Linked DNA regions of Rattus norvegicus. The protein of the gene in region 1 binds, or shares a complex with, the protein of each later gene. Links are inferred from orthologs where the notes say so. Each region holds a gene or a part of one and is shown on either strand. Other genes may lie near its edges.

Evidence for each region.
Region 2: Gtf2f2 (region 1) and Polr2g share a complex: the UniProt entries of both Homo sapiens proteins name them as parts of the TBP-based Pol II pre-initiation complex. The link is inferred for Rattus norvegicus from reciprocal best matches to the Homo sapiens genes GTF2F2 and POLR2G.
Region 3: Gtf2f2 (region 1) and Ercc2 share a complex: the UniProt entries of both Homo sapiens proteins name them as parts of the TBP-based Pol II pre-initiation complex. The link is inferred for Rattus norvegicus from reciprocal best matches to the Homo sapiens genes GTF2F2 and ERCC2.

Annotation. Positions count from the first base shown.
Region 1 is NC_086033.1:57,614,847-57,618,352, forward strand, and holds the end of Gtf2f2 (general transcription factor IIF subunit 2), read right to left. Parts: exon of another isoform or gene 1,223-3,506; coding exon 1,103-1,222; 3' UTR 515-1,102; downstream 1-514. UniProt on the Homo sapiens protein: TFIIF is a general transcription initiation factor that binds to RNA polymerase II and helps to recruit it to the initiation complex in collaboration with TFIIB.
Region 2 is NC_086019.1:215,118,690-215,122,977, forward strand, and holds the start of Polr2g (DNA-directed RNA polymerase II subunit RPB7), read right to left. Parts: upstream 2,968-4,288; 5' UTR 2,894-2,967; coding exon 2,882-2,893; intron 2,770-2,881; exon of another isoform or gene 2,767-2,769; coding exon 2,657-2,766; exon of another isoform or gene 2,052-2,656; coding exon 1,892-2,051; exon of another isoform or gene 886-1,891; coding exon 835-885; exon of another isoform or gene 727-834; coding exon 661-726; exon of another isoform or gene 578-660; coding exon 506-577; exon of another isoform or gene 122-505; coding exon 88-121; coding exon of another isoform or gene 11-87; exon of another isoform or gene 1-10. UniProt on the Homo sapiens protein: Core component of RNA polymerase II (Pol II), a DNA-dependent RNA polymerase which synthesizes mRNA precursors and many functional non-coding RNAs using the four ribonucleoside triphosphates as substrates.
Region 3 is NC_086019.1:88,164,185-88,167,881, reverse strand, and holds part of Ercc2 (general transcription and DNA repair factor IIH helicase subunit XPD), read right to left. Parts: intron 3,603-3,697; coding exon 3,525-3,602; intron 3,450-3,524; coding exon 3,387-3,449; intron 3,249-3,386; coding exon 3,135-3,248; intron 1,979-3,134; coding exon 1,862-1,978; intron 1,775-1,861; coding exon 1,658-1,774; intron 1,429-1,657; exon of another isoform or gene 1,350-1,428; coding exon 1,226-1,349; intron 1,127-1,225; coding exon 1,030-1,126; intron 944-1,029; coding exon 810-943; intron 733-809; coding exon 564-732; intron 111-563; coding exon 1-110. UniProt on the Homo sapiens protein: ATP-dependent 5'-3' DNA helicase. Component of the general transcription and DNA repair factor IIH (TFIIH) core complex, not absolutely essential for minimal transcription in vitro.

The DNA.
Region 1 (3,506 bases):
GAGCGTTTGAGGCTCTAGGGAACAGCACCTGCCTTTGCCATCTCAGTGCACCACCTAACAGCCCCGATTCAGTTGGCAATAGAATCTGATAGCAAAGGGTCAGCCTTGCCTAGACAGTGGGAAGTAAAAATCCCAGGCCAAAGCCAGTCTCCAGGGAGCTTATATCTGGTTAGAGATGCATCTTGAAGTTGGAAAGGTACTTAATTATCAATTGTTATTTTAAGAGATTTTAAAAAAAAATTAGTTTCATTCATGTGTCTGTGTGAATGTATGGACACGTATGTGTGGAAACCTGTGGAGACCTAAGAAGGCAAGGATCCCTTGACGCTGGAGTATAGACAGCTGAGAAAGAAACTGACTTGGCTGCTGGGAACCAAATTCATATCTTTTGCAGGAGCAGTGTGTGCCCGTAACCACGAGCCAGCTCTCCAGATGGGACAGTAACTGTCTCGAGTTTTGACTGTTTCTCTTTCCAGTACCACAAGGGTTAGGCACCAGTGATAAAAGCTGCCACTTAGTACAAAGGGAACAGATCTCTTTATTTACGTATGTTTGAAGGTAAAATATTACCTCTGTAGGGAGGGACAAGTTCCCTCTTCAGTTTCAGAAAAAGGAACTTCAACTCTGTTCCTTTAATAGTTTCCCTCCCCCCACTTTCTCCATTCTTACCTTAGTTCCTCAGAGATACAATTTCATTTAGGAAATGTCCCATTTACACTTGCAAAGCTAACCAGTGGGAACAGAGGCAGTTGTAACCCCAGACCCTACCCATACTGTAATGTTTTCCTTTTATGGGAGAGGGTCTTGCTGTGTATTCCAGACTGGTCTCAAAGTCACTCACCCTTTGCCTGCCTCAGTCTCCTGAGTGTCAGACACATGTATGTGTTGTCAGCATGCCTGCTGAATGCTATGGCTTAACACAAGTCTAGTCTATAAATAATATCTTTCTCTTCAAAAAACACTTAGAAACCTTTTGGAGTCCCAGCTTTAACAGTTTACTGAGGAATGGCAGACAGACTCAGTTGTCTTTGTCCTGTCAGGGTGGGCAGGCAGTCAGCGTGTGGTGGCAGAGATCTGCCTGTAACTGTTGCACACGCTTCTCTCAGTCGCTCTTCTCCTCTGTTTGGTAATGCCTGTACTCTGGCTTCAGCTCCCACGTATTCTTGTGAATTCCTTTTACATTCTGAATGCCGATTTCTTTCAAGATTTCTTTCAGGTATCCCTAAAAACCAAAACCAAAATTATAAAAACCCTCCACAGATGAGATTATCAAGGCAGGAAATAATACTGACAGTGACATACACTAAATACTCAGCAGTAACAAAAACTAGCACCCTTGAAACCCAAGTGGGGTTTCTATGAAAAGGTTCAACAGTTTTTCTGATTCTACAATGTGTACTTCACTAAATATACAAGCATGTGCATCAAAGGCCTGGAAGTCCCGAATAGAGAGGAATCTAGCGGAAAATATACAGTAATGGCTGCTCAATGTTTACTGAATTCAATAGAGGGCAGTCTGATTTGATTTCAGTGACTTAACAGACTCAGTCCACAGACTGAGTTAATCAGCAGTTTAATGAGCATCCACACAAATGACACACACTGTAGGGACGGGAAATAATAGTTAAGAAGCAAGCATATGATAAGCATCTAGAATTCCTACTTCTATAAGATGTGTTTTTCTTTAAAGACAGGCCTCAACTGCCCTGTTTTCTTTTCAAAAGATTTATTTATTATATAGAAGTATATTGTAGCTGTCTCCAAACACACCAGGAGAGAACATCGGGTCCCATTACAGATGGTTGTGAGCCACCATGTGGTTGCTGGGATTTGAACCCAGGACCTCTGGAAGAGCAGTCAGTGCTCTTAACCGCTGAGCCATCTCTCCAGCCTGACTGTCCTGTTTTCTGAGTGCTGGGAATAAAATTATGAGCCACACCCCATCTGACCTAAGATGGGTCTTCAAACACAAGTTTCCTGTGGAAAAAGGAAAGGTACTACCTTTGTGTTGCCTGGGCCTGCTAAAGCAGGGAGAAGACCAAGAACTATGAGGGTGCAGGCTCCTCGTGTTTGGCTCACATTATTCTGTGTCCCCAGAACCTGCTTACAAATGATTACTGGAGTCCTGGAAATTAGGACTATGCTGACTGTACTACAAAACCCACGGAAGCACCCACTATAAACTTACTAATACAAATGACAGTGACCTCAGAAGAGAAAGGAAAGCTAGTTATTCACAAGTGTGTTCTGCCATAAAAAACCCAACCAACCTAACTTCTGAATATATGCTTCAAAGACAGTCACAAGATTAAGATGACTCCTCTCACTGCAGGAGGATATGTCATTCACTGAAAGGAGAGGCACTAATGGTCGAGGAGCTCCTGCCTAGATAATATTTGCACTGAATGCACTATCACCCAAACCACATTATGTATGTATCTTCAGCAAACTCCTGTGTGTGCATGAAGGCATGCATGGGTATACAGACAGGATTGTACTCTGTAGCCATGGCTGGCCAAGAACTTTCTTAGGTAAACCAACTAGCTTCAAACTCAGAAATTTACTTGCCTCTGCTTTCAGAGTACTGGGATTAAAGGTGTTTGCCACTATGACCCCTTCCTTTATAAATAGGGTCTGACAATACAGCCTAGGCTGGTCTGCAACTCTCAATGTAGACCAGGCTTGCCCTAAACTAGTGGAGATCTCCCTGGCTCTGCCTCCAAGTGCCACCAGACCCAAACCTGTCCTTGTTTTTTTTTTTTTTTTTTTTTTTTTGAGTCATGGTCTCATTAAGCTGTCCAGACTGAGCTCAAATCTGTGTTCTTCCTTTCTCCATCCAAGGCCCTAGCAGATTCTGAAGATCCAAGACCTCTGCTTTGAGGCTGTTACAGCTCTCTAATATTCCAGGATTTCTGAGCCCTTGATATCCTTTGTTCTCTGAACCTCGACACAACAGGACACCACATGTTACCAAATAGTCAATTCCCTACCTATGCTGATTTGAAATAATGCAGCACAATCCATTAACCCATAGATAGGCTGCCATCTAGAAGCTTGTTTCTTTTTGAGACAAGGTCTCACTATGTAGCTTTGGCTGTCCTGAAACCTGGAACTCACAGATATCAGCCTGCCTCTGCCTCCACCTCCCAAGTCCTGGGGTTAAAGGCACGCACCACTCTCACCAGGCTTGTCTTCTAGAAACTTAACAGCTGAGAAACTAGATTCAGTGAGGTCCTGGGACTGCTTATCTACTGGACAGCCTTCTGGCAAACAGGCCCCAGCAGGTGGCAGCAACCAACTGAGGCCTGGGTTGCCCAGGCGGCTTGCCTGTCTCCCACACCTTCTATAGTTGGCTTTGCTGAAGGCATGAGTGTGAATGAGTAAGCACAAAGGCTCGGGCAGGCAGGTAATGTGCACGGCTGCCATCTGCCACTTCAAATTACACTTGAAAATGGGACACTGCTCATAAACTACTTCTAATTAAACTGGACTCATAAATGGAAAAT
Region 2 (4,288 bases), on another chromosome or scaffold:
TGACTGGCATTTAAATCCTACAGCCATCCCCTCTCCAGCACATCCTTTCTCCAGGGAATGGTCCCAGCACCCATGTCAGGCACTCACCCAAGTAGTCATCCATCAGAGAGCCAATAGCAAACTGCGAGAGGAAAGGGAGAAAGGATGGTGAGGTGGGGCCCCACCCCATTCCGAGCCTTCTGTCATCTATTCCCTGCTCATGGACACAGAGCACAGAGCCCCCAACAACTGTGGATGGCAAGAGGTCAACAGCGCAGATGGGGAAAGAGCTTGCTCCAACCCTGATGACCTGACCTCCACCCCCAAAATCCACAGCAGCATGCGATGACCTGAAGGCGGTCTAAATGTCACACTGTGGCGAGTGTGTATGCCCACACATCCACATAAATATGTTCTACAAAAGAAACGAGAAACCCACAGCTGTCAGCTGTGAATGATGACTTTGGATTATTTATAATCCTACTACCCAGGAGGCTAAGGCAGGCCAGTCAAGCAAGAGACTCACAATGTCATTCTTGTCTACACGTGTCCCTACAATCTTCAAGCGTATCTCATCGTCCTGCTGAATTACAATGTCCTGTGGAAAGGAGAGAGCAGGGTCATCAAGCAGACTCAGGCCTGGTCCTCATCCCTCTCACCAACTCCTCCTCATTCGCTCACCTCATCCATGGTCTTGTAACAAGGGGGGTTCGAATTTGGATCAAACTCCATCTCTGAAGGGATGGACTAGAAGGAAATTGACACAAAGGTTAGCATTTCAAATAGCTGCATCAAAGGATGAGAGTCAGGGGCTGGTTTCTCCTCCTCGGCCTCACCCCACACGCCCAGACTCACGTGTCGAGAGATGAAGCAGGACATGGGCCCAATTTCTGTGAAAAGTCCAACCTAGAAGGAAAATGACCGTGCTTCAAACGCTCTGAAGCATCTTTACCTGATTTCTAGGCACATTATTCATGTTTCTTAACAGTTTAAATTGTAGCATTTGTTTTAATTTCTCTCTGTGTAATCTTTCATTTCTTTACATTTTTGTTCTTCATTATTTTTATGTGTAAGAATATTCTGACCTCACATGTGCCTGTGCACCATGTACCTGCAGTGCCCATGGAAGCCAGGAGAGGGTATTGGGACCCTGCAGAATTAGGAGTTACAGATTATTGTGAGCCATTGGCTGGGTGCTGGGAGTCAAACCCAGGTCTTATAGAACCAGTAGGTGCTCTAAACCACTGAGCTATAGACCCCTTAGCCTTTAAGAAACTTAATTTCTGAGGCTAGAGAGATAGCTCAGTGGTTAAGAGCACTGACTGCTCTTCCATGGGTCCTGAGTTCAATTCCCAGCAACCACATGGTGGCTCACAACCATCTGTAATGAGATCTGATGCCCTCTTCTGGTGTGTCTGAAGAGAGCTACAGAGGAGTGTGTATAATAAATAAATCAGGGGCTAGAGAGATGGCTCAGCGGTTAAGAGCACTGATTGCTCTTCCAATGATCATGAGTTCAATTCTCAGCAATCACATAGTGGCTCATAATCATCTGTAATGGGATCTGATGCCCTCTTCTGATGTGTCTGAAGACAACAGTGTACTCATATAAATAAAAATAAACAAACAAACCTTAAAAAAAAAAAAAAAAAAAAGAAAAGAAAACCCAAAACTAAGATAAAATAAAATAAATCTTGACAACCACAAAAGGCTTAAGGCAACTAATAAGTGGACTGGGAATTGAACTCTCACCTTAGGAAATACCCCGTAACCTTTCTTTTTTTTTTTTTTTTTTTTCTTCTTTTTTTTCGGAGCTGAGGACCGAACCCAGGACCTTGCACTTCCTAGGCAAGCGCTCTACCACTGAGCCAAATCCCCAACCCCATAACCTTTCTATAAATAATACTCTTACCTTGTTGACCTGAGTGACCACAGCATCCACCACTTCCCCTTTAAAGGGCCGGAAAACAATAGCTTTGTATTTCACTGGATAAAGAACAAAACCTCGGCCCGGCTGGATCACACCAGCACCAATATTGTCGATGGTAGTGACAGCAATCACAAAGCCATATCTGCAGGAAAGATGAAAAAAGACAGCTACTGTATGTGAAGAGCCTCTAAAAAGCCACCAGCAATAGTCTGCGTGTGATGGAACCTCTGCTCGAACAGCTCGATGACCAAGAAGAGACAGAACTCAGATTAGCACCTGAAATATTAAATGGTGCTCTCACAATTGTACAGTAAATGCCCAAGAAGGCACAGATATGCTGACATACACCTATTCTCTCAGTACCAGGACTTGCCAGGTCAGTGGTGAGACAGGTCTTTCGAAAACCACAAATCAGACAGAAAATTGTGACGAAAACCTTTAATCCCAGCACTCAGTGGCAGGCAGTTCTCTGAATTAGAGGCCAGCTTGGTCCACATAGTGAGGCCATCTCGAAACCCAAAACATTTGCATAATAACGGTCTGATCTCGCATAAGCGAAGAAAATTTGGTTTAGCAACCTTTTAGAAGGCCCAAAATAGGCAAAAACTGGCTGCTTCGGATGCCTGGAGTGGTGAAAGAGTTCCTCAGAGTAAGTAACAAGCCCTGACTGAAGGAGTGAAGTAGAGGTTACAGAGTAGCGTTATTGTGCCTGCATTCAGCAGACGACACTGTGAATCAGACACTTACTTCCCAGTGCAGGTCCCCTCCACCTCGGTGAACAGCTTCTGCTTCACCGTGTTGAGCAAGTTGGGACCAAAGTAGCGTGGGTGCAGTAGGATCTCGTGCTCCAGGGAAATCTGCAGAGAAAGGAAGATGAAGACTCCGCCAGCCACACTGAGAACAGGAGGCGACCCGTCGGCCCTCCAGGCTCCTCCTGTCCCTGCCCTCACCGCTACCCCGCGTCCAGCTCACATGATAAAACATCTTCTGCAGAAGCTTGGACCGCAGAGGCCAGAACTCCCCAGGAAGGGACCTCGCCGGAAGCACTAGCAGAAGTCCCACCAAGTCTCCGCAGTCGCTTCCGCAGATTTGAGTCTTAACGCCATGGGCGGGGAAACGTGAAGCCCCGCCCCTCAGGCCTTCCCATCAGCGCTCATCAGCACAGCCAGGATTACACAGAAAAACCCGGTCTCGAAAAACCTTAAAAAAAAAAAAAAAAAAAAAAAAAAAAGGTTAAGAGGTCTGGCTTGTCGCCACATGCCTTTAAACCCAGCCGTGGCAGACAGATCTCTAAATTCAAGGCTAAGCCACATCTACAAAGTGAGTTCCAGGATAACCAAGACTGTGTATACAAACCCTATAAAAAAATTTGTTTTTGGGGTTGGGGATTTGGCTCAGAGGTAGAGCGCTTGCCTAGCAACCGCAAGGCCCTGGGTTCGGTCCCCAGCTCCGAAAAAGAGAAAAAAAAATTGTTTTTTAAATTTTATTTTAGGGGCTGAAGAATTAGCTCAGTCCTTAAGAGCACTTGCCAGCCCCCACAGGATAGCTCACAATCTTATCTGTAACTACAGTTCAGAGAGAACTGACACCCTCTTCTGGCTTCATTCAGCACTGCATGCTAGTGGTACACAGACATAATGCAGGCAGAACACCGATGCTTGTAAAATAAAAATAAAGATGAGGTAGTTGGGGAGATTGCTCAACAGTTAAAATCAATGGTTGCTCCTCCGAAGGATCCAGGTTTGATTCCTAGAACAAACATGGTAACTCAACTAGCTATATTTCAATCCTAGGGGATCCAGTGCCATCTGGGGCCTCCATGGACACTTCTCCCTTGTGGTGAACAGGCATAGATACAGCCAGAACATTCATACATATAAAATAAAAATAAAGGTTTTTACACATAAAATAAAAATAAAGCTCTCGAAGAGGACCTGAGTTCAATTACTAACACTGCACCCGAGGTCTCACAACTCCAGCTCGAAGGGGATCTGAAACTTTCTCATTGCCTCAGGAGGTACCAGCACTTGTGGGCTTGTACTCACATACAGATAACAGACATCATTGAGTACACCTAATTAAGAAGAAGTCACTTGGAAGTGTGGCACACGCCTTAAATCCCAATATTCAGGAACAAAAGGCAGGTGGGTCTTCAAGTTCAAGGCCAACCTGGTCTACAGCATGAGTTCCAGAACAGCCAGGGATACATTAAAAATGAAGGTGTCGGGGTTGGGGATTTAGCTCAGCGGTAGAGCGCTTGCCTAGCAAGTGCAAGGCCCTGGGTTCGGTCCCCAGCTCCGGAAAAAAAAAATGAAAGTGTCTTGTTAAACAAAACAAAAAGACAACAAGCAAAAAGATTACTTATGTGGGCACGCACTG
Region 3 (3,697 bases), on another chromosome or scaffold:
AAGTGCTGACGAGAGTGGCGAAGTTGGCAAGGAGTGTGAGTGGGGAGAAGTCGGCCAGATCAGCAATCTCCAGGGTGTGCAGCAGGGAGCGCAGGCGCTCGGCACAGAACCTGAGAAGCAAAGGGGTCAGGAGTGAGAAGTAGCAACAGGCCCAACTCTCGCCACATGTTTCCCTGGGAATCTGGGCATTGTGTGACGCTGTCCCCATACTGTATAAGACACCCAGGGTCACCACTCCAGGCTGGAGCACAGCTCCCCACTCACTGCAGTATCTTGTCAAAACTCATGGCCAACAGTCACTCTGCTTCTGGCCAGCCAGTGCCATGGGCCCCACCCCACACACAAAGAGGACTAGCCACACGCTTTCTTAGGCTCACAAAGTCTATGTCATCTGCTCATCCCCCAACATAGGGACACGTGGTTGTGGTACTCACTGCCCACCACACAGTCCCACAGACTCCCTCCACATCCAAAGCTGACCTGACCCACAGCCTTAGCTATGGTCCAGATCCCTCCATCACCAGCAAAAGGTATGGGCCCATGGCTCCCGCTGCAGGCCGCACCTGAGGGGCTTGCGCTGGATGCACACACGCTGGGCCAGGCCGCTCAGAAAGGCAGGTGGACTCTCCTGCACCACATGCTGCACACGCAGCCGCCACTTGACATACTCCAGCAGCCGCCGCAGGAAGCCCAGGAAGTGCTCGGCGGTGCGGATGGAGCCTGGCACGGCCTCTGCAGGGAGATCAAGTCAGTTGGTACAGGAGGAGTGTGTGAGGGCCGGAGGCTGGGTGGGGTGAGGTGTAGCTCACCCTGCAGCACCTCATCGGGCAGCACAGGGTTGGCCAGGTGGGCATCTGTCTCCCGAGCTGCACTGGCCTCCCGCAGGCCCTCCACCAGGCGCCGGTACTCATCTCGTAGCCGCTGCTCATCTGTCTCCTTGATCCTGATGGGGACAAGGGACAGGAGCTGGAATGAGGCAGGGGTCCAGGGCCACTGAGGCGCACACAACAGCGGGAGCGGAGAGGGCACCTGAGCACCGTCTTCTGCAGGGTGTCTAAGTTGCTTTGGCAACGGTCCAGAGTCCTGCGGGTGAGGTTGACACTCATGGAGTCGATGCAGACATTGTCTAGGAGAAAGAGAAAAGGGGTGAGAGCTGGGCTCAGTCAGGCTTGGGGGTGGGGGACAGAGGGCTGCCATCGTCTGCACACCCTGATACCCTCCTCACCGATATTGTGGGCTTCATCGAAGACCACAACGGCCTTGCGGGCCAGCTCTTTGGATACCAGGTCTGCGATCTTGGGGTCCAGGAGGTAGTGGTAGCTGTAAACCACCACGTTGGCATGCAGGATCTGGGCACACGGAGGGAGAGGTTGCCCTGGGCCCTGCTCCCCCCGCCACACCCACTCTACTCCAGGTCCATGAAGGTGCCACAAAGACAGACACAGCAATGGGTGGAAAGATGGACAGGACCACCCAGGCAAGGCACAAAACCACAGAGGTAATAGGATGGAAACAGAAGGGCCAACAGAAGGACGGCACAGCGTCTCATGCCTACACCCTAACAGCTGGGAACCTGAGGCAGGGTTAGTCCAAGTTTGAGGCCAGCCTGGGCTACAAATGAGATTCTGCCTCAGAAGAAAACAAAACGACTCTTCACCGAGTATCGAGCCAGGAAGTAGGGGCACCAGCCCTGCCGCTGCCCCAGGGCCTTCAAGTCATCCAGGTTGTAGATGCCCGCAGGGAGGGGCACCTGGCGTCCATGGGTGTCAAATTCCTGGGGCAAGGTCAGAGGGTGGCAAGGTCAGGGAGAGGTGCTCTGTCGTGCCCCAGCCCTGCTCCCCAGTCTGGGCTCTCCCTGTACCTCATAGAAACGGCAGTGAGGTAGGCTGGCATCCTGCTGGTACTGTGCCCGCACGTATGACGCTGTCAGGCTGTGACACTTCCCATCAACGTCCTTCCCGAAGCGCAGTGGTGTCACCTAGGAGGGAGTTAGTGGACAATTTAAAACAGAGACAGGAAGGGGTGCATATCAGCTATTTGAACTGGGTCTCCAAACTCAGACAACAGGAGTAGTGTGTTAGCTGGGGCTTGGGGGCAACAGGGAACCTTCACCTGATTTGCTATTTGTTTTTTGTTTTGTTTTGTTTTATTTGTTTGGCTTTTGGTGTTTGAAGACAGGGTTTCTCAGTGTAATAGCCCTGGCTGTCCTGGACTCATTTATAGGCTAGGCTGGCACTGAACTCAGCGAGATCAGCCGGCCTCTGCATCCTGAGTGCTGGGATTAAGGCCAGCACTGGGATTATCAGCACCACGCCTGGCTGATTGATATTTGTTACAAGAACTTGTTGCATCGGTGTCAAGGTGGAGCCTGGCTGAAATCATCCCACGAGAGCTGGGTATGGCAGCAGGGGCCTGTGATCCAGTTACTCAGACAGGTGAAGCGAGAGGATAGCACACAAAGCCGTAGGCACAATCCAGATCCCAGAAAACCAGCCAGCCAGAGGGCTAGCTGGATGGCTCAGTGAGTATGGATGGCTGCTGCCAAGCCAGACAACCTGATTTCAATCCCTGGGATCCACACAGTGCAAGGAGAACAGACCCCCACAAGTTGTCCTCTGACTGCCCCATGCCCATATGTACACATACATACATGCACACTCATACACACAAACATGTAAGGTTTTAAAGAAATAAATGCCTAAATTTCTCTCTAAACAAGCAAAACCCCCAAACAGAAAACGAAGATGCCTTGAGTAGCCAGCCCTTCTCTGAAAGCACTGGGTCAGCAGCGTTTGGTTCGGGATGTGTGTGGGTCTGAACTACCCACATAAACATAATGGACACTGTGAGGCAGAGCCTGAGGCTGCCATGGAATTAACCTCTTTTGCCTGTATACAAAAACACCCACGACTTTGAGTAAGCTACCATTCAGATTTTGACCTGTCCCTTACTAAGGTCAAATGCGAGAGTCTGAGATACCATGTGGCATGGGAGCAGCCTCTGATCTTGGCACAGGTGCCGCCCTTAGCCACCAAGGATGAACACTGATTTAACAACTGAAAAGGAAGCCGCACTCTGTCGCCTCACTGACAAAGGGTTTACTCTGGGCCTGAGGTGCGTGGCCCAGGGCTCACCTCGGGATGAATGCACAGGTTCTTTCTCGAGCTCAGAGCCAGTCCTAAGAATGGCAGCTTCTCACCCTCCTGCTGCTCGTAGAAACTGAGCAGCTTACGAAGCTCTTCTATGACCTGCACAGACGATGGGAGCATTAGGTGGGGACCTTAGGACAAACACAAGTTCCTGCCCACCAGGCTACCGAGGGCTGAGACGGGATCACCAAGGCCCAGTGGAGGGGACAGAGCATGGGTTCTGTCTGCACTGCCCACCTTCTCAATCTCCGGCACGGTCCGTGAGCAGTAGATGAGTTTGGTCACCTCCAGTGGATAAGCCTGTGGGTGACAAGTGGCCTCAGCCCCATCCAGTCCCTTCCCCATCCCATTCCTGGCACTTAGGAGGCCACTCACCCGTTGATAGGCCACGATCAGGGCCAACAGGGACACTGTCTTCCCAGTGCCTGAGGGCATCTCCAGGACTCCATGACCCTAAAAGTTGGGCACAGAAAAGACATGGGCTCTCAGAACCCCATTGACATAAACTCTGGGGAATTCATCCCTGATGTGCCAGCACCCAACAACAG